Callithrix jacchus: one gene and its partner. The protein of the gene in region 2 purifies or fractionates together with the protein of the main gene of each other region. This does not show direct contact. Links are inferred from orthologs where the notes say so. Each region holds a gene or a part of one and is shown on either strand. Other genes may lie near its edges.

The links. Proteins that work in one complex are often made in the same cells at the same time.
Region 1: the proteins of DAPK1 (region 2) and IFI30 purify together in Homo sapiens (affinity purification with mass spectrometry; 3 studies listed by BioGRID and IntAct, counting the BioPlex papers as one, with this or other methods). This does not show direct contact. The link is inferred for Callithrix jacchus from reciprocal best matches to the Homo sapiens genes DAPK1 and IFI30.

What each region holds. Positions count from the first base shown.
Region 1 is NC_133523.1:16,888,710-16,899,112, forward strand, and holds IFI30 (gamma-interferon-inducible lysosomal thiol reductase), read left to right. Parts: upstream 1-3,978; 5' UTR 3,979-4,008; coding exon 4,009-4,140; intron 4,141-5,712; coding exon 5,713-5,907; intron 5,908-5,995; coding exon 5,996-6,070; intron 6,071-6,287; coding exon 6,288-6,380; intron 6,381-7,438; coding exon 7,439-7,591; intron 7,592-8,015; coding exon 8,016-8,069; intron 8,070-8,153; coding exon 8,154-8,216; 3' UTR 8,217-8,415; downstream 8,416-10,403. UniProt on the Homo sapiens protein: Lysosomal thiol reductase that can reduce protein disulfide bonds. May facilitate the complete unfolding of proteins destined for lysosomal degradation. Plays an important role in antigen processing.
Region 2 is NC_133502.1:75,958,113-75,968,796, forward strand, and holds the start of DAPK1 (death-associated protein kinase 1), read right to left. Parts: upstream 5,563-10,684; 5' UTR 5,495-5,562; exon of another isoform or gene 5,151-5,494; intron 4,274-5,150; 5' UTR 4,166-4,273; coding exon 4,104-4,165; intron 1-4,103. UniProt on the Homo sapiens protein: Calcium/calmodulin-dependent serine/threonine kinase involved in multiple cellular signaling pathways that trigger cell survival, apoptosis, and autophagy.

The DNA.
Region 1 (10,403 bases), on a different chromosome or scaffold from region 2:
CCCGCGGCCCCTCCGTCTACGCAGATTCAGGGCTTCTCTTCCATCACGCTGGGTTTTGATTCTATTTTTCCTTGACTGCAAAACCCTCTTTTCTCTTTTGGGACGAGAGCCCTGGTTTTCTACGCCGCCCTTGGCTGCCACACTGCCTGCCCGGCGAGCTGGGAGGCAGGTTTTGTACGGTACGTTGTTATTGATATGATATAAAACATCAAACGTCGTGGATGATTCTCTTGTCAGTGACTGGGCTTCACTGCCACCTCTGCGTGCCGGGCACCCTGGCATTTACGGGATTAATGCCAAGCCACCTCTGAGGCCGGACAACCCCCTACCTCCCCCAGTTGAGCTGCTCAAGCCCCGAGAAGTTGAGGCACTGCCAAGGTGACAGGAGAGATATTGGGACCCCAGACCTCATCCAGCCCCTCAAGTGCTTCCGATCTGCCTCCCCCGCCCCCAACTCCAAATATGAACCCTGTGGCGACCACCAGCTACGTCCTTGGGAAAGTCATTTCCCCTCCCTAATCTACAGCTTCCTCATTCATTCCCAAGTGACCTCAAAAGCCACAACCTGGCCGGGCCCAGTGGCTCACGCCTATAATCCCAGCACTTTGGGAGGCTGAGGAGGGTGGATCATGAGGTCAACAGATCAAGACCCTCCTGGTCAACAAGGTGAAACCCCGTCTCTACTAAAAATACAAAAATTAGCTGGGCATGGTGGTGCACGCCTGTAGACCCAGCTACTCGGGAGGCTGAGGCAGGAGAATTGCTTGAACCCAGAAGGCGTAGGTTTCGGTGAGCTGAGATCACACCATTGCACTCCAGTCTGAGTAACAACAGCAAAACTCCGTCTCAAAAAAAAGTCACAACCTTCCCATGCCACATGGACAGGTCTCCCATGTCTTGAGATCCTCAAATCATCAGCACCTCCATCCAGCATTTGAGGTTCTCGTCTGACCTCTCCTGCCCCCATGTTCAGCCCACCAGGTCCCAGGGGATGCTGAGCAGAGGCCCCATGAAGGGGGTTTTTGTTTCTTTTTAAAGAGTCATGGTCTTGCTCTGTCACCCAGGCTGGAGCGCAGTGGCATGATCACAGCTCATGGCTCACAGCCTCAAACTGCTGGTTTCCAGGCTCAAGCAATCCTCCCATCTCAGACTCCTGAGTCACTGGATTATGGGTGCGAGTCACCATGTCCAGCTAATTGTTTTAAAATGTTTTTAGAAACATGATCTTGCCAAGTGCAGTGGCTCACACCTGTCAGTCCAGCACTTTGGGAAAAGCCAAGGCAGGCAGATCAGTTGAGGTTGGGAGTTTGAGACCGGCCTGGCCAACAGGGCAAAACCTGGTTTCTACTAAAAAGACCAAAAAAAAAAAAAATTAGCTAGGCTCGGTGGCCCATGTCTGTAATCCCAGCTACTTGGGAGGCTGAGACAGAATTGCTTGAACCTGGGAGGTCGACACTGCAGTGAGCCAAGATTGTGCCACTGCACCCCAGCCTGGGTGACAGAGTGAGACTGTCTCAAGAAAAAAACAAAGGTCTTTCCCTTTTCCATGTGGGTCTGGAACTCCTGGTCTCCAGCAATCCTCCTGCCTCAGCCTCCCGGAATTGTGTGAGCCCCTACGAGTAGCCTCATAGTGTCTTTAACCCGGACTCCTGTTAACCACCCTCCTCATCACACCCAGAATGCCATATCCTTGTCCCTTCAGCCCTCCTCACCCCTGGGGCCTCCCTGTCCTTGTCTGTTCCTGTCCAGCCACCTCTCAGGGCCCAAGAAGGCTGAGCCTGGGGCAAGTGCATGAACAAACCTCCCTTCTGACCCAGTCTACTGCTGGGACCTTGGGATAGGAGCTGCTTCCCTTACCTCAGGGCCCCCTAGCCTTGCCAGGCACTGTCCCTGCCATGTGTCCTGTCTGGAGATGCCCCATAAATTACTCCAGCCCAGATAGTGCCTCTCACTGTGTACGTGATCGCAGGAGAAAGATCGCCATCTTCATGGCCCCAGCTATGCTGAGCTGGCCGTGTGGCCTTTAAAAACATTCAGCCACTGGCTGTGTGTCCTTGGCAAAATAGCCTTCCCTCTCTGATCAGCCGTGTCTTTGTTACCAACTGGAGTCCATAGCCCCCACCCTCAGCCCCAACTGGCTGCTTCTGAGGGTTCAGTGATAAAATAGGTTGTGGGGACAGGTGCGGTGGCTCATGACTATAATCGCAGCACTTTGGGAGGCCGAGGCAGGTGGATCACGAGGTCAGGAGTTTGAGACCAGCTTGGCCAGCATGGTGAAACCCCGTAAAAATACAAAAAAATTAACCGAGCATGGTGGCAGCCTACTCGGGAGACTGAGGTAAAAGAATTGCTTGAACCTAGGAGGCAGAGGTTGCAGTGAGCCAAGATCATGCCCCTGCACTCCAGCCTGGGTGGCAGAGCAAGACTCTGTCTCAAAATAAATAAAATAAAATGGGTTGTGGGCACACTCTGTGCCTGGCAGAGAGCAATATATTGTGAGGTTACATTTATGATTTCTTCCAAAAGGGCTGGTGCCCAGTAACTACTGGAAAAATTGGAGCAATTATATTTATTGTTATTTCTTCAATCCCACCTGGCACATGGTAAGCATGAAAGTTGAGGCAGTGAGTCTTGGGGAGCCTTTGAGAAGGAAAAGGGCTTTGCCAAGGGTTTGGTCATCTGAGGGATGGGCGGGGGCACCATCCAGCCACTGGGACTTCAGGGAAACTCTGGCTCCCAAATCAGCTGCTGTGTGTGGGTCTTTCCCACAACTAGAGGGAGGCACAGCTGGGGACTCACCTGTATCTCCCCGCCAGGTTTGGGACATTTTCTTCTGTAGGATCTGGTGCGTCTTGCCATGAATGACGCCCTGCGGGGCCTGAATGTCTTAATTATTCCCCCAACACTCCTGCCTCCATCTGGGCCTTTTTTCTGGGGTACTGTCTCTGCCTTCGCTGCTGGGCACTGTTCTATGGAGGCACCAATGCCTGATCATGCTACCAGGAAGCCCCAGCCTGGGACAACTCTCCCCCACCTGCCTGTGAGCCCTCCATGGTGATTCTGTCCCCCAAACCTTATCCTTCTCCCCATTACACAGAAGGGAAAGCTGAGGCTCCATCATTCAAATCCAAAGCCATGCGGACTCCTACTCCAAACAGCACAGGCTGCCGCTCTCCTGCATGGGCGCCCCTTGAAGGCCAGGTTGCCCCCCACCGCCCACAAGCCTTGGACCGTGAAAAGAAGGAAGGCCAGTTCTCTTCACCCCAAGCCAGAAGTAGGGCTTGCGGGGGTGGGGGCGCTAGAGAAGTGATGTGCCACTTCTTGTGTCGGCTTCTGCTTTTCTGGCACAGCTGTGGCCAAGCTTGAGTCAGTCCCACGAGACTGTAGTGGGGGAGTCTGGAGCATTGGGTTTGGGAATTTCGAGGGGGAAGGGGCCAGGGGGGTGGGGGTGGGCGTGAGGGAGGTCAGGGGCCAGGCTGGAGGGAGGGGACCTGGCCACACAGGCCTTGCCCACACTCAGACAGGGGAGTGAGCATTCAGCTACTCCGCCAACAGCCCAGCCTCCATCCCATCCCCGGCCTCCATCAGACGCCACCCCTGTTAGAGCACAGGCTCCTCTGAGAGTGGGCCCTGGGCCTCAAGTCCCCTAGCCGCCCCCAGAAGGTCTAGGGGTGTGAGGAGCAGAGACACCCTCATTTCTCTCGGCCTGTGTCTGTCTGGAAGGCTTCACCTCAGGTCCCCTAAATGTACTCTTCCTCAGGGCTCACATGACTGGGCCGGGCTGACTGCCAAGGGGCCCAATGGCCTCGTGACTGGGGACCCAGCACCTGGCAGGGGTGGGGGTGAGATACCTAGAGGGAGGCGTGGAGGAGGGAGAGACGCTGGCCAGGGACCCGAGGGGAGGGGCACCGGGAGGTGGGGTCGGGCTAGGGGCGGGGCCGCCGCCTGCTTAAAGGCGCTCATTACCCAGGCAGCTGCTCCCGCTGCCACACCTTCGCCCTCGCCGTGATGGCCCTGCCGCCGCTCCTGCTGTTCCTGCCGCCGCTGCTGCTGCTGCTGGACGTCCCCACGGCGGCGGTGCAGGCGTCCCCTCTGCAAGCGTTAGACGTCTTTGGGAATGGACCACCAGTCAACCAAAAGGTAGGGACGGCGACAGGGCGGGCCGGCTGGAGGGGACAGGCGGCTCCTCCTTTCTCCCCAGACTTCAAGGGCCAAGACCAGGGCCCCGAGGGGAGGCTGTCCCTGCCGGGGGAAAAACCGCGTTCAGTCCCCCGGCACTGCGGCCACTCTCTCCGTGCCGTTTCGCTTTCTCATCCCGCAGCTGAGACGCGCAGCTGCCCCCACCCGCCTTGTCCCGCTCAGGATTTCATTGAGCGCCTACTGTGTACTTTTGGGGCAGGAGCTGGGGTGTCTTTTGGGGGCCCAGGGCACAGCCAGATGAGTTCAGCGACTGGTCGAGGCCCCCGGCGTGCGTTCTTGCTGCTACCCCTGGTGCGCGCATTCCAGCCGGGGCAGGGCTCGTGTGTCGCCGGGGCCTATTAGGCAGATTCCCTGGAGGCTGAGGGACTTGCTCACGGCTCCCGCGACCTGGGCCGCCCGCCACCCCTCCGCCGAAGCCGGAAGTTAGCACAGATTAGGTGCCGTCTCTATTCGGTGGGACTTGGAAAGGGTTCACATGGGTCCCTGGCTCTGCTCAAGGCCAAGGTCTTCGGCCGGGCGCGGTGGCTCATGTGTAATCCCAGCACTTTGGGACGCCGAGGCGGGTGGATCACGAGGTCAAGAGATCGAGACCATCCTGGTCAACAAGGTGAAATCCCGTCTCTACTAAAAATACAAAAAATTAGCTGGGCATGGTGGCGCATGCCTGTAATCCCAGCTACTCAGGAGGCTGAGGCAGGAGAATTGCTTGAACCCAGGAGGCAGAGGTTGCGGTGAGCCGAGATCGCGCCATTGCACTCCAGCCTGGGTAAGAAGAGCAAAATTCCGTCTCAAAAAAAAAAAGGCCAAGGTTTTTGGGTAAAGTGGCAAGAAAGGAGCATGGCCTCGGTGCGGTGGCTCATGTGTAATCCCAGCACTTTGGGAGGGTGAAGTGGGTGGATCGCCTGAGGTCAAGAGTTTGAGGCCAGCCTGGCCAACATGGTGAAACCCCATCTCTACTAAAAATACAAAAATTAGCCGAGTGTGGTGGTGGGCATCTGTAATCCCAGCTACTTGGGAGACTGAGGCAGGAAAGTTGCTTGAACTCAAGAGGTGGAAATTACAGTGAGCTGAGATCACACCACTGCACTCCAGCTTGGGCGACAGAGCAAGACTCCCTCTCAAAAAAAAAAAAAAAAGGCTCGCCAGGCTTAGTGGCTCACACCTGTAATCCCAGCACTTGGGGAGGCCAAGGCGAGTGGATCACCTGAGGTCAAGAGTTTGAGGCCAGCCTGGCCAACATGGTGAAACCCCATCTCTACTAAAAATACAAAAAAATTAGCCCGGTGGGGTGGCACGTGGCCTATAGTCCCAGCTACTCGGGAGGCTGAGGCAGGAGAATCGCTTGAACCCGGGAGGTGGAGGTTGCAGTGAGCCGAGATCATGCCACTGCACTCCAGCCTGGGCAACAGAGCGAGACTCTGTCTCAAAAAAAAAAAAAAAATACCAAGTGGGGTTTAGAGAAGTGGAAAATTGCCCAGGGCTACACCTGCCTCACCCCTTCCTAATCCACAGATGGGCAGTCTATACCTGCGGAAGCAGCTCAAGGAGTCTATACCTGCGGAAGCCGCACAGCTCGTCAATGTGACCCTCTACTATGAAGCCCTGTGTAAAGGCTGCCGCACTTTCCTGATCCGGGAGCTCTTCCCAACGTGGCTTATGGTCATGGAGATCCTCAATGTCACACTGGTGCCCTACGGAAATGCGCAGGTGCGCGGACACTGGGGAAACTGAGGCACATGGGCAGGGGAGCAGGGGACCCGGCCTGCCAACCAGCTCTCACCCTGCTGCCTTGCAGGAACAAAATGTCAGCGGTCGGTGGGAGTTCAGGTGCCAGCATGGGGAGGAGGAGTGCAAATTCAACAAGGTGGAGGTAAGCGGTGACAGGGGCCCCTCGCCAGGGTGGGAGAACTGCCCAATGTACAGGAGGCAAACGCAAGGGTGCCAGCTCTGTCTTCTGCCTCGCGGGTTCCCATGTAATCACATCTTTATTCCCTATCTCCTGGGTGGGCACTGGTGATTATTATGATTGGGTGTCAGCATACCCTGGGCCCACCTCATGCCCTCTCCTGCCCCCTCTTGAACACCAGGCCTGCCTGCTGGATGAACTTGAGATGGATTTAGCCTTCCTGACTATCGTCTGCATGGAAGAGTTTGACAACATGGAGGAAAGTCTGCCACTAGTGAGTGATGCCCCTCACTCCGAGGAGAGGGACAGGTGGTAGCTTCCCTGCACCCAGTCAGACCCAGACTCAAGTCCTAGCCCTGACCATTGCTCTCTGTGCAGCCAGGAGAACAACCTTCCTTTCTTTTTTTATTTTTTTTGAGACAGGATTTTGCTCTGCAGCCTGGAGTGCAGTGGCGCAATCTCGGCTCACTGCAACCTCTGTCTCCTGGGTTTAAGTGATCCTCTTGCCTCAGCCTCCCTAGTAGGTGGGAAGAGGAGTGCAAACCGCCACCATGCCTGGGCAATTTTTGTGTTTTTAGTAGAGGCAGGGTTCACCATGCTGGCCAGGCTGGTCTCAAACTCCTGACCTCAAGTGATCCACCTGCCCTGGCCTCCCAAAGGGCTGGGATCATAGGTGTGAGCTACCGCGCCTGGTCCCAGCCTCCCCTCTTGAAGCCTCTGTCTTTGAATCAGAGGAGCATGAGTGATCATGGAGGACTTACTGGAGGAGGCATCTCTGCGCTGGGCATGGAAGGATGAGCAGGAATGTACAGATGATGGGATGTGGAGATGATAGGACAGGCTCCACCTACTTCCCCAGGGGATTGTGAAGAATGACTCCCAGAGGAGTGGCTCATCAGCTCTAATCAGTGTTCATTCACCAAACATCCCAGCCACCCAAGAGGCCCCACCCAGCCACACCCTAGTACTGCAGGGTTAGATTGGGGCTGGAAGAGTGGCAAGGAGGAGAGGGCGACACTGGGGAAGAAGGAGGAAAGGTGTTTCTGGCAGAGGGATCAGCATGTGCGGAGGCCCTGAGGAAACTGAGATGCCGTTGGGGGTCAGAGGCAGTGGATCTGGTCTTAGGAATGAAACAAGCGGGCTAGGAGCAGCCCCAGCCCTGCTCCCAGGCCTCCACTAAAGCATGTATTGAGCGCTTGATGTTTGTGGTATTGTGTGGCTGTGACCCTCTTCTCAGTGATGAAACAGGCTTGGCTTAGGGCTGGTGGGGGACCGTTGAGGAGATAACGGGGAGGAAGCTGAGGCAAGCCCCTACTCCTCCACCCCGCCCAGTGCCTGCAGCTCTATGCCCCAGACCTATCGCCAGACACTGTCATGAAGTGTGCAATGGGGGACCGCGGCATGCAGCTCATGCACGCCAACGCCCAGCGGACAGACGCTCTCCAGCCACCCCATGAGTATGTGCCCTGGGTCACCGTCAATGGGGTAAGGATCTTCTTAGCCCTCAGCTTGACACCCCTAGTCCCATGGAATCAGAGGTGGACCCAGAGGGACCAGGGATAAAGGAGCCCAGAGTGGGAGTGATGGCTTTGCATAGGAAAAAGGGGCACTGGGGCTGGGGTTTTGAAGGGTGAGTAGGAAGCAAAAAAAATGTGTGTACTAAACATCAGGCAAAAAAATGTGTGTATTAAACAACAAAAGGCAAGAAACAAAAAAGAAAGTGTGTATTAATTCAATGTATTAAACATTCCTAGCCACCCTCGTTGGGACAGATGTGCCCAACTGATTTGGGAGGTGGGAGGTGGGGGCCAGACTTGGGACCACATGTAGCCCTTTCTGGGCTGGAACCAGGGTACATAGGTTGAGGCAGCTGCTGGGACTAAGCGACCCCCTGTCTTGCTTTATGCAGAAACCCTTGCAAGATATGAGCCAGCTCCTGGCCCTTGTCTGCCAGTTGTACCAGGTAAGCTGGGCAGGGAGCAGTGGGGCTCAGGTGGTGGGGGTGGGGTCTCCTTCCAGGACTCCAACTAGTGGCCTTCCCCTCCAGGGCAAGAAGCCAGATACCTGCCCTCCCTCAACCAGCTCCCTCAGGAGCGTCTGCTTCAAGTGATGGCCGGTGCCCTGCAGAGAGCCGAGGGAAGGCAAGTGGGAACCCAGCTCCCTGCCGTTTTTTCCAATCCGGACCCTTGGCATCTGCTGGTCACAAATGGGAACATTTCTATGTATGAAGCCCAGACACAAAATTCCACCCCATGATCAAGAATCTTGCTCCACTAAGAACGGTGCTAAAGTAAAACTAGTTTAATAAACCCTTCTGGATGCTGTAATTGATTTGATAAGTCAGCCATTCTCCCTTCCCCAGGCCTGTGCAGTGCTGGAGCCTTGACACACCTTAGCCCAGGGAGCCTCTGTCCAGGGGATGCAGACCCAGAGAAACATGCTGAGTCTCTTGGGGTCAGGGATGGACCAAAAGGGATGGGCTGGGGCTAGAGGATCCCAGAGGGAGAGAAGTCTTTGCATAGGGGAGAAGGGCATCAGGGCTGGGGTTTTGAAGGGTAAATAGGAGTTCGTCAGGCAGAAAATGAGTTCATTAATTGCACAGACATCCCTAGCCACCCTCATTGTGCTGAACCCATACTGGGTAATATGGATTGAGACCGACTATGGGAACTGGGGCCGGACAAGGACAGAGGATGGGGCAGGAACACTGTCTGGGGAGTTGCCAAGAATTTGTTCCCTAGTGGGGACGTCAGGGTGTTCCAGGAAAGGGAAACAAAAGAATGTACAAGACTCTAGCCGCAGCAAAATCTGGAGCTAGAATGCCAGTCATAAACACCCCAAAACAGGAAGGTATATTATACAATATATCTTTTCTTTTTTTGAGATGGATTCTGGCTCTGTCACCCAGGCTGGAGTGCAGTGGCTCAATCTCCGCTACCTGCAACCTCTGCCTCCCGGGTTCAAGGAATTCTCCTGCCTCAGCCTCCCAACTAGCTGGGATTACAGGCGCGTACCACTACACCTGGCTAATTTTTATATTTTTAGTAGAGACAGGATTTGACCATGTTGGCCAGGCTGGTCTCAAATTTCTGACCTCAAGTGATCTACCTGTCTCGGCCTCCCAAAGTGCTGGGATTTCAGGCATGAGCCATCGTGCCAGGCCTTATAGGCTAGTTTTCAAGGGAAGGAAATACTATGATTCTCATACTAATGTAAAATGAACACATGTTAAAAGATTTTTTTTTTTAGTTTAGTTTTTTGTTGTTGTTGAAATGGAGTCTTACTGTGTCACCCAGGTTGGAGTGCAGTGACACAATCTCAGCTCACTGCAACCTCAGCCTCCCAGATTCAAGCAATTCTCCTGCCTCAGCTTCCTAAGTAGCTGGAATTGCAGGCACCCACCACCACGCCTGACTAATTTTTGTATTTTTAATAGAGACAGGGTTTCAGGCTGGTCTTGATCTCTTAACCTCGTGATCTGCCCGCCTTGGCCTCCCAAAGTGCTGGGATTACAGGCGTGAGCCACCGCACCCAGTTAAAAGATTTTATGTCCAGGCATGATGACTACACGGATAATCCCAGTACTTTGGGAAGCCAAGGTGTGAAGATTGCTTGAGGCCAAGAATTCAAAATCAGCATGATTACAAAAAATTTAAAAATTAGCCAGGTGTGGTGGGGTGTGCCTGTCCTCCCAGCTACTCAGGAGGTTGAGGTGGGAGGATCGCTTGGCCCCAGGAGGTCAAGGCTGCAGTGAGCTATGATCGCACCACTGCACTCCAGCCTGGGAGACAGAGCAAGACCCTGTCTCAAAACTAAACAAACACAAAAAGACTTGATTTAATTCTTCTTTTTTTGAGATAGAGTCTCGCTCTGTGGCCCAGGCAGGAGTGCAGTGGTGCAATCCCGGTTCGCTGCGACCTCCTCTGCCTGGGTTCAAGCGATTCTCCTGCCTCAGCTTCCTGAGTAGCTGGGATTACAGGTGTGAGCCACCACAGCCAGCTAATTGTTGTATTTTTAGTAGCAACTGGGTTTCTCTATGTTGGCCAGGCTGATCTCCAACTCCTGACCTCAAATGATCTGGCCGCCTTGGCCTCCCAGAGTGCTAGGATTATAGGCATGAGCCGCCTCACGTGGCCCCTAAAAATATCCTGAGGATTTGGATTGGCCAGAATCAGCCTGTACGAACCTGAAAGTCAGATGTAACTCATTGGTTTTTTGGGTTTTTTGAGACAGAGTCTTGTTCTGTTGCCAAGCGCCAGCCAGGCTGGAGTGCAGTGGCGCAATCTCAGCATCTCAC
Region 2 (10,684 bases):
TGCACTCCAGCTTGGGCAACAGAGTAAGACCCTGTCTCTAATATATATATATATATATATATATTAGACGCATGACAGTAGGCGTTCAGTAAATGCATAATATATCTATCTATAGACTAAAAAGATAGACAGATTATTAGACAGTGACTGCATGTCAGATGTTTAAAGCCACGTCTGTAATTCTCACAACACCCTACCCTACCAGGGTAGGTAACTCCCCCCTTTCCAAATGAGCTTCCTGAGGGTCTTCCACACTGCACGCTGCCTCTCTAACAGCATCAGCATCTGCATCATCGTTTGCAGCTTACATCCCCATTCTGGTCTCAAAATTGCACCTGCCAAACTGCATTAGCTCATTTAGACATGCATTAATCTCATACTGACCACAGATACCAATTTACTGGAAGTCTAGGGCACACTGTACACCATGGGGAGAAAGGGCTGCGACAACTCCAAACCACAGAGCACATCCCAAAGAAACTCACAAGCTGGCTGCAAAGACTAATACAAGACTAATAAATATAAAACAGGATGGAACATGTCACTGGGCAGTCTATGGTCATGGACAAAGAAAGTCTCAGAAAACTCACTTGACTTTAAAAAGGGAAAACTCATTGTGGAAGGATTCATTCATTAAAGAAGTGGGATTTAGGTCTTAAGATCATAAAAGGTCAGATGGTACACTAAGAAAGAAGACCAGTCCCTCAGGAAAGCAGTGTACACAGAGAGGTACCCAGGAGGCTCACAGGTTAGGCTGAACGACAGCCAAGGGTGTAACTAGAGCCCAACAATGGGGCAAGCCAGGCTGTAGCTGCCCAAGATGCCAGCTGATAAGAGATGCTAGGGCATCCTGGGGCATTAAAACAACCTGGTGTAATAGCAGGTGGAGAAAACCACATTTATAAGAACTCCTCTCAGAGACTGTTCAACACGATGGAGGCAGTTCTTTGTTCCCCCTCCTGGCATAGAAGGTGAGACCCTAAAGGCCCTCCAGGAGCCCAAATGGAAGGCCACCAAATACTCTTCTAAAGATGACAAGTCCGTCTGCTGCAGGGACTAGCTTCTGTTTGGAGGCTGTGCCAGCTCAAGGCCAGGGCAGCATTATTCAGAATCATAGTGAAGACTGAATGCTGTCAGCAACCCATCTCCCTATAACCCTTTTCCCATAAGCCCTCCCCTCCCAAAGTTGGTAAACAGATACTTAAGAATATTGAGTTGCAGGTCAAGTTATTAGCTTGCCTGGGGCACCCACATGTCTCAGCCAGTCTACAGATAATGTCTATAGTTGTTTAACTATCCACTGCCAATAAACTACCTTTACAAGTTAGATTACTTAATTTTTACAACAGCCATGAAATAAGCACTAGACCTCTCATTTTATGGAGGATAATCCTGAGGGTCAGAGTGGGTAAATGGCCTGTTCAAGAAAACTAGCAAGTTGCAGAGCCAGGTTTTGGACAGGGTCGTCTGTCCAGTGGTCCACCTGCTCTATCACTGCTGTAATAGTTGTAATAGTTTATAAAGTTCCTGACAGTTGACAGAGAGCTTTTATAGAAGTCTTAGGCAGTACACACAAATACACACATTTTCAGTTTTCCCAATAGTAAAATAATATTCATAATAATACTGTATTCTACTTTTTAAAAAACCCATCTTTCCTCCTCGCTATGGACTTTGCCTCATTACATTTATAAGGTAAGTGAATCGTTATTATTTAGATGACTGCTAAAGATACGTAAGTAAAGTCTTTATTTATTTATTTATTTTCAGTCAGAGTCCTGCTGTGTCACCCAGGCTGGAGTGCAGTGGCACGATCTCAGCTCACTGCAACCTCTGCCTCCGAGAATGGTTCAAGTCATTCTCATGCCTCAGCCTCCCAAGGAGCTGGGACTACAGGCACCTGCCACCATGACCAGCTAATTTTTGTGTGTGTATTTTTAGTAGATACGAGGTTTCACTATGTTGGCCAGGCTGGTCTTAAACTCCTGACCTTGTGATCTGCCCGCCTTGGCCTCCCAAAGTGCTGGGATTACAGGCATGAGCCACCCTGTCTGGCCAAGAAAAGTCTTAAATCTTAGATACTGGTCTGCTAGTAAGTCACTGCTTAGAATGACCTTGCATTTGTTCCACGTATCTGCCCATTTCCATTTTTCTGCCACCAAACTCCTGCCTTCACTCCCAATCCTCCCTCAGTGACACATGATGTCACATAAGCAGGATCTTCCTACATGTCCATCTTACATCAGGACTTGTTTTCAGGAAGTGACTACATCCAAGGCAGACATAAATCACAGGATTTGAAAAATTTTCCAAAAAACAACCATTCACTCAGTTTTTGGCAAAAACAATAGCAATTATACAGGACAGATGGGTATGTACGTTTCATTCTTAAGACTTCCAGTTTTTCAGAGCATTTTGTTAAAATTCCTAGGTCACATAAATTATTTAATAAACAATTTGTCGATTTGCCTTCCACACTGGGAAGAAAGTTATACACAGAAATGTACATGGAGTCAATCAAAGTGCTGGTGACAAATAAGCAAACCACCTGGCTCCTCATCACGCCCCTGAAATGAAGAGCACAAACTCCCTTCACCAACCACAGGGAGGCCTCTTTTTCTATTTCTTTCTCATAACACATCACTGTACCAAATAATCATAATGAAAAGGTCAGTACACGTAATCCATAATACAAAAAAATCTCAACTAATTTTACTCATCTCCCTTTCTAACAACATTTAAATAATCAGACCACACTATGCAAGTAAAATTTAAAAAAAACTTTTTTGCTTTTTTTTCCCCAGTCCCAAAGGAAAACTCCATATCCCACTCATCTTGCTGAAAACCACAAGAAAGTTACTTAATTCCACTTAAACCAATCTTAAACACATCCATGAAATGTGATTTTTCAGGGGCTTTCCTTATTTACTCACCAGATCATCAATAAACAGAGAGCTCCTCCTAAGTACAGGCCCCACTGATGTTTTCAGTCAATACTAAACATTTAGAGAAATATTCTGTTACAGTAACCTTTATAAAAACTCTACACTATCGTTTGAATTTAAAAATTTTTCAGTTAAGCTTAGTTTTCATAATTCGCTTTAGGTAATCTAGAATGTGGGTGTTTTTGAATTTCCTTTTCATGGAGAAAAAGGAGGCTTTGTATCAGGACATCAGATGTATATGGGAAAATAAGTATTTCAGTGCACATATAAGTAAACACATATTTTGTTTGTTTAAAGATCCTTTGCCTGCTCCACTCAAAATGCAAATACACCACAGTCAAATTCCGTAAATTCAGTTTTAAATGTAGGTATGAAAACTAGGTTTTCTACTAAAGCTGACCGGCCCAAAACACTCTGTCTAATACACAGTCAAACGAAACAGCAATCAGCCCCTTAGATGCCCCCAAAGAAACCCTTCTTTGTTTACCTAGAAACTGAAAGATTTTACCCTGAGAATCACAGCTGCTACAGCAAAGGAGGTATGCTCTGAATTCAGATAGCCATATTAGAATCTCATTGATTTGTTAAAAATTTAACATTGTAAATGAAACCAAAGCCACCAACACCAACCGGGTAATTAAATTCCTGGTTGGAAGAGGTTTCAAAATCCAAGCCCAACATCAACATCTGGCAAGTTTCCATTTACCACCTACCAATACTTGCTCACATTACACTGAAAATTCAGATAGAGGGAAAAGTACTAAGATTTTTAAAAGCCTATTAATTAGTTTGTACTCTCTGTTTAAATTACACATAAAAGCGAACTCCAGTTGCAATTATAATCTTAGTGTTCGTCCTGTTGTCACGGAAGGCCAAGGGCTGACAAGAGTTAATGCAGACAATTAAATCTGTTCTTGTACAGGGGACTTGATCAATACACTGTGCATCATAATCTAGCCCTGAACGGCTGCCTCTCCTCCACCCCCAGGCCTCTGGATCAGGAGGTTTATCTCTGGGTTAGTAACTCTTTACGATGTGTGCATCTCCAGAAAGGGCGAAGGAGACGCCTGATTCAAACTGCGTTTGTTTACCACCCAGTGGCCCCATCGTTATGCATTTCCACAACCCAGGAGCGTGCGCTTCTGGCACCCCCTTTACCTGCCAAGTTCCTCGCCGGTGTCGTAGTAATCATCCACGTTTTCCTGCCTGAACACGGTCATGATAAACTGTCACACCTCACCAAAGCCCAGCGCACTTCAGCTCCGCTTCCCAGACCATCACCACCGCTCCTGTGCCTCCGTGGCCCCCTCATGCATCAGCTTCCAGTCCTTTTGAAAACAAACAAACAAAAAAAATTGGCAATAATAATAGTAAAATGGCAACCCCAAAAGGAAGTAGACCTCCCCAGCGCTAAGACCCGCTCGCTGGAGACCAGGTCTCAGGAGTTGCCTCTCCTCGTGGGGTGGAGGGGAGCACCCTTTGTTAAAGCTGGGCGGCCAGGGACGCCCCCGACCACTCAGCCTCGCCCGCGCATGGGGCCGGGCACCACTGCACCCTGAGGTCCGCAACCCCAAACGCTGGGTGGTGTGTTCGGATCAGAATCGGCTCCGGAAGTGACTGGCCTCCCGGCCTCCCCGCCTCCCCTTTCTCTGCACACACGCCCACCCAGCTTACCCACCTCCAGGGACGCCGCGGAAGAATGAAGCCCTCGCCCAGACCCAACGCGCCTCGCTGGAAGCATCCCTCTCAGCCTGAGGCATTGGTGGCACCCCCGCGCCACCTCTCGGCTCCCGCGCCTCTCCTGCCACCGTGGCCACCTTCTCCCCTTCCCCGAGCAAGGCAGTCCCCAGAGCCACATTCCTGGCGACTCCCTCTCCGTTACCCGGCCGACCCGGCGTGCTGCCGCCCGGGGGAGCAAGGGAGGGAAGGGAGCGGCCCACCGAGGCGCGGCGGTCCGCTCCAGATCCCCGCGGCCCGACACAAAGCGCCTGTTCCGGCCGGCGCCACCTGTTCCCATCCGGCCCGCGGGGCTGGGGGAGCCTCCCGGCTACGATCGCATTTCTCCCCGAGGCCAAGTTTCCCTCCGCCTTGGCCTTCCCAGTTGCTCGAGGCGCTGCCCTGGCAAACCCCACCGCGCCCTGGCCGCGACAGCAATTGCTGGCGCCGGGGGTCTGGGGGACCGGGGAACCGCGCCTGGCCACTCACCCGGGCGCCTGAGAGCTCCCCGGGTCCCTCCGGAGCACTGTCTGAGGCCGACCATAGGCGCCAGCGCCACAGACGAGCTGGGCGGCGGCGGGAACACAGCTAGGGAGGGAGTTGGGGGCGCAGATCCCACGCAGCCGCCCAGACGCCGGCTCCAGAGCCAGCCGCCGCGAGGGTCGCCGAGTCCCCTCAGCGGAGGGAACAATGTCCCCAGCGTCGGCTCGGCCCGGCTCTCCAGCTCCCGCTCCAGAGGAGCCTCTAGGCTCCTCGCCGCCTTTAGGGCGGAGGGCGGCGGGCAGGCGGCCAATAAGGACTCTGCAAGCGGGCTGGCGGCGCGGCCCACCCACCTCCGAGCTGCCCTGCCGGGCCGGCGCTGCGGGTTCTGCGCGGCGCTAGCTGTTCCTCCCAGCTCTGCGCTCCGGGCTCGCTGGCGCGCTCTACCGCGCACACCCCGCACACACCCACTCGCCCCACACCCACGCCGGCAGGGGAGCCAGTGCTGCAGCCCGGAACGCGGGCACCCCTCCTGTGACACATTGCTAAGCTATCCTCCGGCTGAGTTCTAGGGAAACACTGTTCTTTCGCCCCGCAGATGTGTACTGGGATCCCAGCTTGTGCCGGGCACGGCTCTTGGCAAGGGAAAATCACAGAGAACAAAACAGGTTTTTAAAATTCCTGCCCTCCGGAAACCTACATTCTGGTGGAACAGATAGATAATAAATATGTAAACTAACTAATAAGGTAATTCTGGAGGATCAGTCCGATGTTTACCACAAGGCAGGTTAATGGAATAGAGAATGGCAGGAAGGGAGCGGACCTCCTTAGACTGGATTCCCTTGCCACATTGGTGTTGGAACCGAGGTTTGAAGGCGAAAAGGTTTGCAATCCGAGAGGAAAAGATTGAGGTCTCCGAGACCCAAAGAAGCAACAGAGACGAAGAGTTTATTTGTGCTATACAGTATTCTGTTGGCTATTGATGAGCTGAAATATAGCTAGTCCCAAATTAATTGTACTGTAAGTGTAAAATACACATTAGAGTCCACGACTTAGAATGGATATGTGAATGAAAAATATCTCATGAATGTTGTTATATTTGTTACACGTTCAATAATATTTTAGATATATTGGTTTAAATAAAATATATTATTAAAATTAATTTCACGTGTTTACTTTCTTTTGAGACAGTCTCACTCTGTCGCCAGGCTGGACTACAGTGGCACGTTCTCGGCTCACTGCAACCTTCACCTCCCGGGTTCAAGCAATTCTCCTGCCTCAGCCTCCCGAGTAGCTGGGACAAGTGTGCATCACCACACCCAGCTAATTTTTGTATTTTTAGTAGACACGGAGTTTCACCATGTTAGCTAGGATGGTCTCAATCTCTTGACCTCATGATCCACCCACCTCAGCCTCCTAAAATACTGGGATTACAGGCATGAGCCACCATGCATGGCATCACCTGTTTACTTTTTTAAAGGTAGCTACTAGAAAATGTAACAGCACCTCCGTGGTTTGCATTAGATTTCCGATGACTCTGTTGGTCTACACAAAGACCCTATATCCGCTGGAGGCCTCTATTCACTTTACTTCCCACCCTATGCTCCCCCTAAATGTTTGGGTGGGGACAAAGAAGGGATGATTCCCCACATCCCACTGCTGGGAGAACCCCAAACGGAGAAAAGCTCCTAAGGGGAAATCTGTTTGACTGCCTAGAATGATGAAAACTGATAGATGAAGAGATTTCCGATACACAACATTGTTCAAATCCCCAGGCTTTCTAAATTGAGTTGGTTCAAATCTCTCTAAAAAAAAAAAGTCAACAGAAATTTTCAACTGTGAAGATTTGGGCCTCTTGAAAACAAGGCAAAACAAAAGAATGCTCCTCAGGCCTTATGTCAAATCCTAGTTTTCTGTTTTTTTGGGTTTTTTTGATAAAGAGTTTTACTCTTGTTGCCTAGGCTGGAGTGCAGTTGCCCGATCTTGGTTCACTGCAAAATCTGCCTCCCACGTTCAAACGATTCTCCTGTCTCAAGCTACCCAGTAGCTGGGATTACAGGCATAGGTCAACACGCTCGGCTAATTTTGTATTTTTAGTAGAGATGGAGTTTCACCATTGGCCAGGCTGGTCTCGAACTCCTGGCCTCAGGTGATCCTCCTGCCTCAGCCTCCCAAAGTGCTGGGATTACAGGCATAAACCACCATGCCTGGCCAAATCCTGATCTTAAATAACATTGCATTAATGACCCACAGGAAGGGCCCACAAGAATGGAGGGGAAATCCCCAAATTGGAAGATGATATTTGCCTAAGCAGTGGGCTTGATAATTAATACAAAAGGATCTTGAGAGGTGAGAAATACAGTCAAAAATGACAAAGAGAAAGAGTGATTCATCTGGGAAAATGCAAATGAATACATCTGTTGGGAGAAAAAATTAAAACACAGATGTTTGGGATAAACTTGGAAGGTGTTTATGGATGACTACCTTATGGGTAATATTTTTTCTGCAAAATAAAAATATATTTTTTAAGACAATTAAAAGGATTGAATCTATTTGGCAGCTAGAATGTCTTAACAAAGACATTGTCCTATGGGACAATGATGTTCACCGGAGATAATCTGGAGTAGTGGAAAAGAGCATGAAATTTGGAGTCATAAAATTAGATCTAATACTGGTGGAGCCATTTAACAGCTTAATAATCTTATATGTGTCACTGATCCCTGAGCTTCATGTGTGCACCAATTTAGACAAACATTTTAGAAAGGAGAAATTTGGTCATTTAAAAGCATATCCACAAATTATTTGACACTCCCCCAATCAAGAGGCGGAGTCTAATTCCCCTCTCAATAAATAAGCACTGACCCTATCTGCTGGCTTCTAAGAAAAGGTAGTGGCAGTGGCACAGTGTAATTTATTTCCAAGGTTAGGTCATTAGACATTAGAGCTCCTGCCTGCTTGCTTTTCTCTCTCTCTCTCACTCCTCCTCCCTCTCTCCCCACTTCACCTCCACCCACTCTAAAGCCTCCCGCTGTCACAATTACCCTAGGGTTGCTGTGTAGAGAGGTGTGACAAGACCACAGAAAGAACTGGAGATGCCCAAAGAAGCCAGCTGTCCAGCCCCACCCTCACTCCCCATTGTTTATGTCTTCCAGTTCAAGTTCTGTGAGCCAAATCAATGACTTTTAATGTTTTAAGTCATTATTTCAGGGTGATTTGTTATGTAGCAATAGATTATCTTCTTTAAAAGTTAGAAAAATTAAGAAAATTCTTAACACATACCAGGTTCCAGGCAGACAAAATAATTACCTCAATTAATCTTTAAATAAATTAGTGGGTTTTTTTGTTTAATAAATAAATTTGTGGTTATTTACTCTTTATATGTAAATGTCTTAGTCTCAGTTTCATTGCCTGTGAAGTGAGGATGGTTATAGACTCTTCCATATTCCTCAGGTTTGTTGGGAGAATCTAAAGAGATAATGCATGAAACAAGACTTTGTACATTATAAAACACATCAACATGTTAGAGATTTTATTTTCTATCATGTCCCGAGCAAAAAGGACTGAGAGAGTCATGTCACAAATAGAAGACAACAATATAAGAAGCTACAAATTATGAGATGCCAGTTGAGAAGAATTTCTATAAAAATAATTGATTATGATATGGACTATGGATCATAATAATCATGGCAATAGTATTTTAAACAAACCTGAGTGTAGATTTTAGAACATTATTTTACAACTGTATTAGGGTAAAATAACTGTTGCTATAAGACCCAACAAATTTCAGAGGTTTAACACATTAAAAATTTGTTACTTGTTCTCAGCACAGAGGTTTGCAGGGAGTAGGCAGAGATTAGCTCCATGATAGTCATTCAGAAACCCAGGTTTCTGCCATCTAATGAATCCATGCTCCTCCACGTAGGTTCCTCAGTTGATTTTTTCCATCTTTTGGCTGTTGAGAGAAGAGAAAATACAGGGAGGATTGCACTGAAGCTTTATGTAGGAGGTAAGATTTGAAGTCTAAGACAACCATTATTTCCCAGCAAGATGTTCTCAGCTCAATCTAAGTGGACCATATTAACTCAGTTCCACCTTTGGGTTGCTTTTTTGTAATATGGATTTGGTTTTATCAAGAGCTAATATTTTTAAGAATGTTTCTGCATTGTGGTTTCCCTGTTAAAGATTCTGTTCATTACACAGTTGAGAGCCTCTGATAGAGGCAGTCACATGACTCATCCCAGTTCCTCCCAGCATTGAGTGCTAAAAGTATATTCATCTCTTCTCACCAAATCATATTTTCTTTTGTCAGACAAAAGTACAGAGCTCATTCTGTTTCTCATTTTGCCTTGGATTCTCCAGAAAGCATGCAGCAAGTTCAGAAAGCACAAACCTCCATCTAATGCCCAGTTTACCATCTTCTCTGATCCCATTCGTAAGCATTTCTTGAGTATCTAGTGTCCAGCAGATGTTAGGGATGCAGATATAAGAGAAACATTCTCTGTCCTCAGGTAACTTAGCCTGATGAGGGAGACGGATCAACAAATAGAACTGCGATTGTGCTAAATATAATCCATTCGCCGCTCTACATCTAATCTACTCTCTGAGCCATAAGATTATTTTAACGCATTCCTTGTCCTCTGGTTGCTGGTAGGCTTAGCCAATGGGCCACCTGGCATAAGATGAAAAAAAAGGAGGGAGTGAAGCCAAGATAGTCATTCCTCATCTCTCCTCCCTGCAAGATTGCCTTAGTCTGCAGCTAAACATAGGTCGCTGTTCCTTACAGGTCCCCTCTTTTACATGGTTTTCTCTTTCTGGGTTTTGGTAGCCACTCTTGCTCCTTTATGTCTTCAAAACCTAAGGTTGGTGCCAGCTCTGTCATTACTAACTTGGGTTCCTGCTCCATCCCTTATGGTCCCCCTGCACCTCTCTCACACCTCCTTGAATCCTCCTGATTTGAGCATGCCATCTCTGAATGACAGCGTAATGAGAGAGGAATCTCAGAAGATGGTGAAAACAAGCAGGGAGGGTGCTTAATTCAGATAAGGGTGGGGCAGAGGGTGAGGGTGGAGGGAAGGCTGGGATTTCAGAGAAGTTTCCTAGAGAAACTGACATCTAAAAATTTTGAAAAGAGATTAAGAGTAAGCAGAATAAACTGGTGGGCAATTAGGGTGGTGGGTTGTGGGGCAGTGGGGGTTGGAAAGGAGGGCATCTAAATAGAGGAAAACAGCAAGGGTACAATCCTGGATATGAGAAAGACTATGACTCATTCAGGTATCTGTAAGTAATCAGAACCAAGGCAAGGAAATGACAAGAGGCAAGAGTGGAGAGAAGGGTCTCTTCCATTACACCGGAACTCGGGTGAGAGTGGAGAGGTGAACCAAGGTAGAGTTTGAAGGTCCTTGTCCATCATGCTCAGCATGTGGCTGTATCACTCTGAAGATAGTTAATTAGTGCTAATTTAGCACAGATGGTGGGTATAGAAAAATGATGAGATACTTTAAGGAGGTAGAAATCACAGGACCTGGGACCTTGGTACCCGAGGA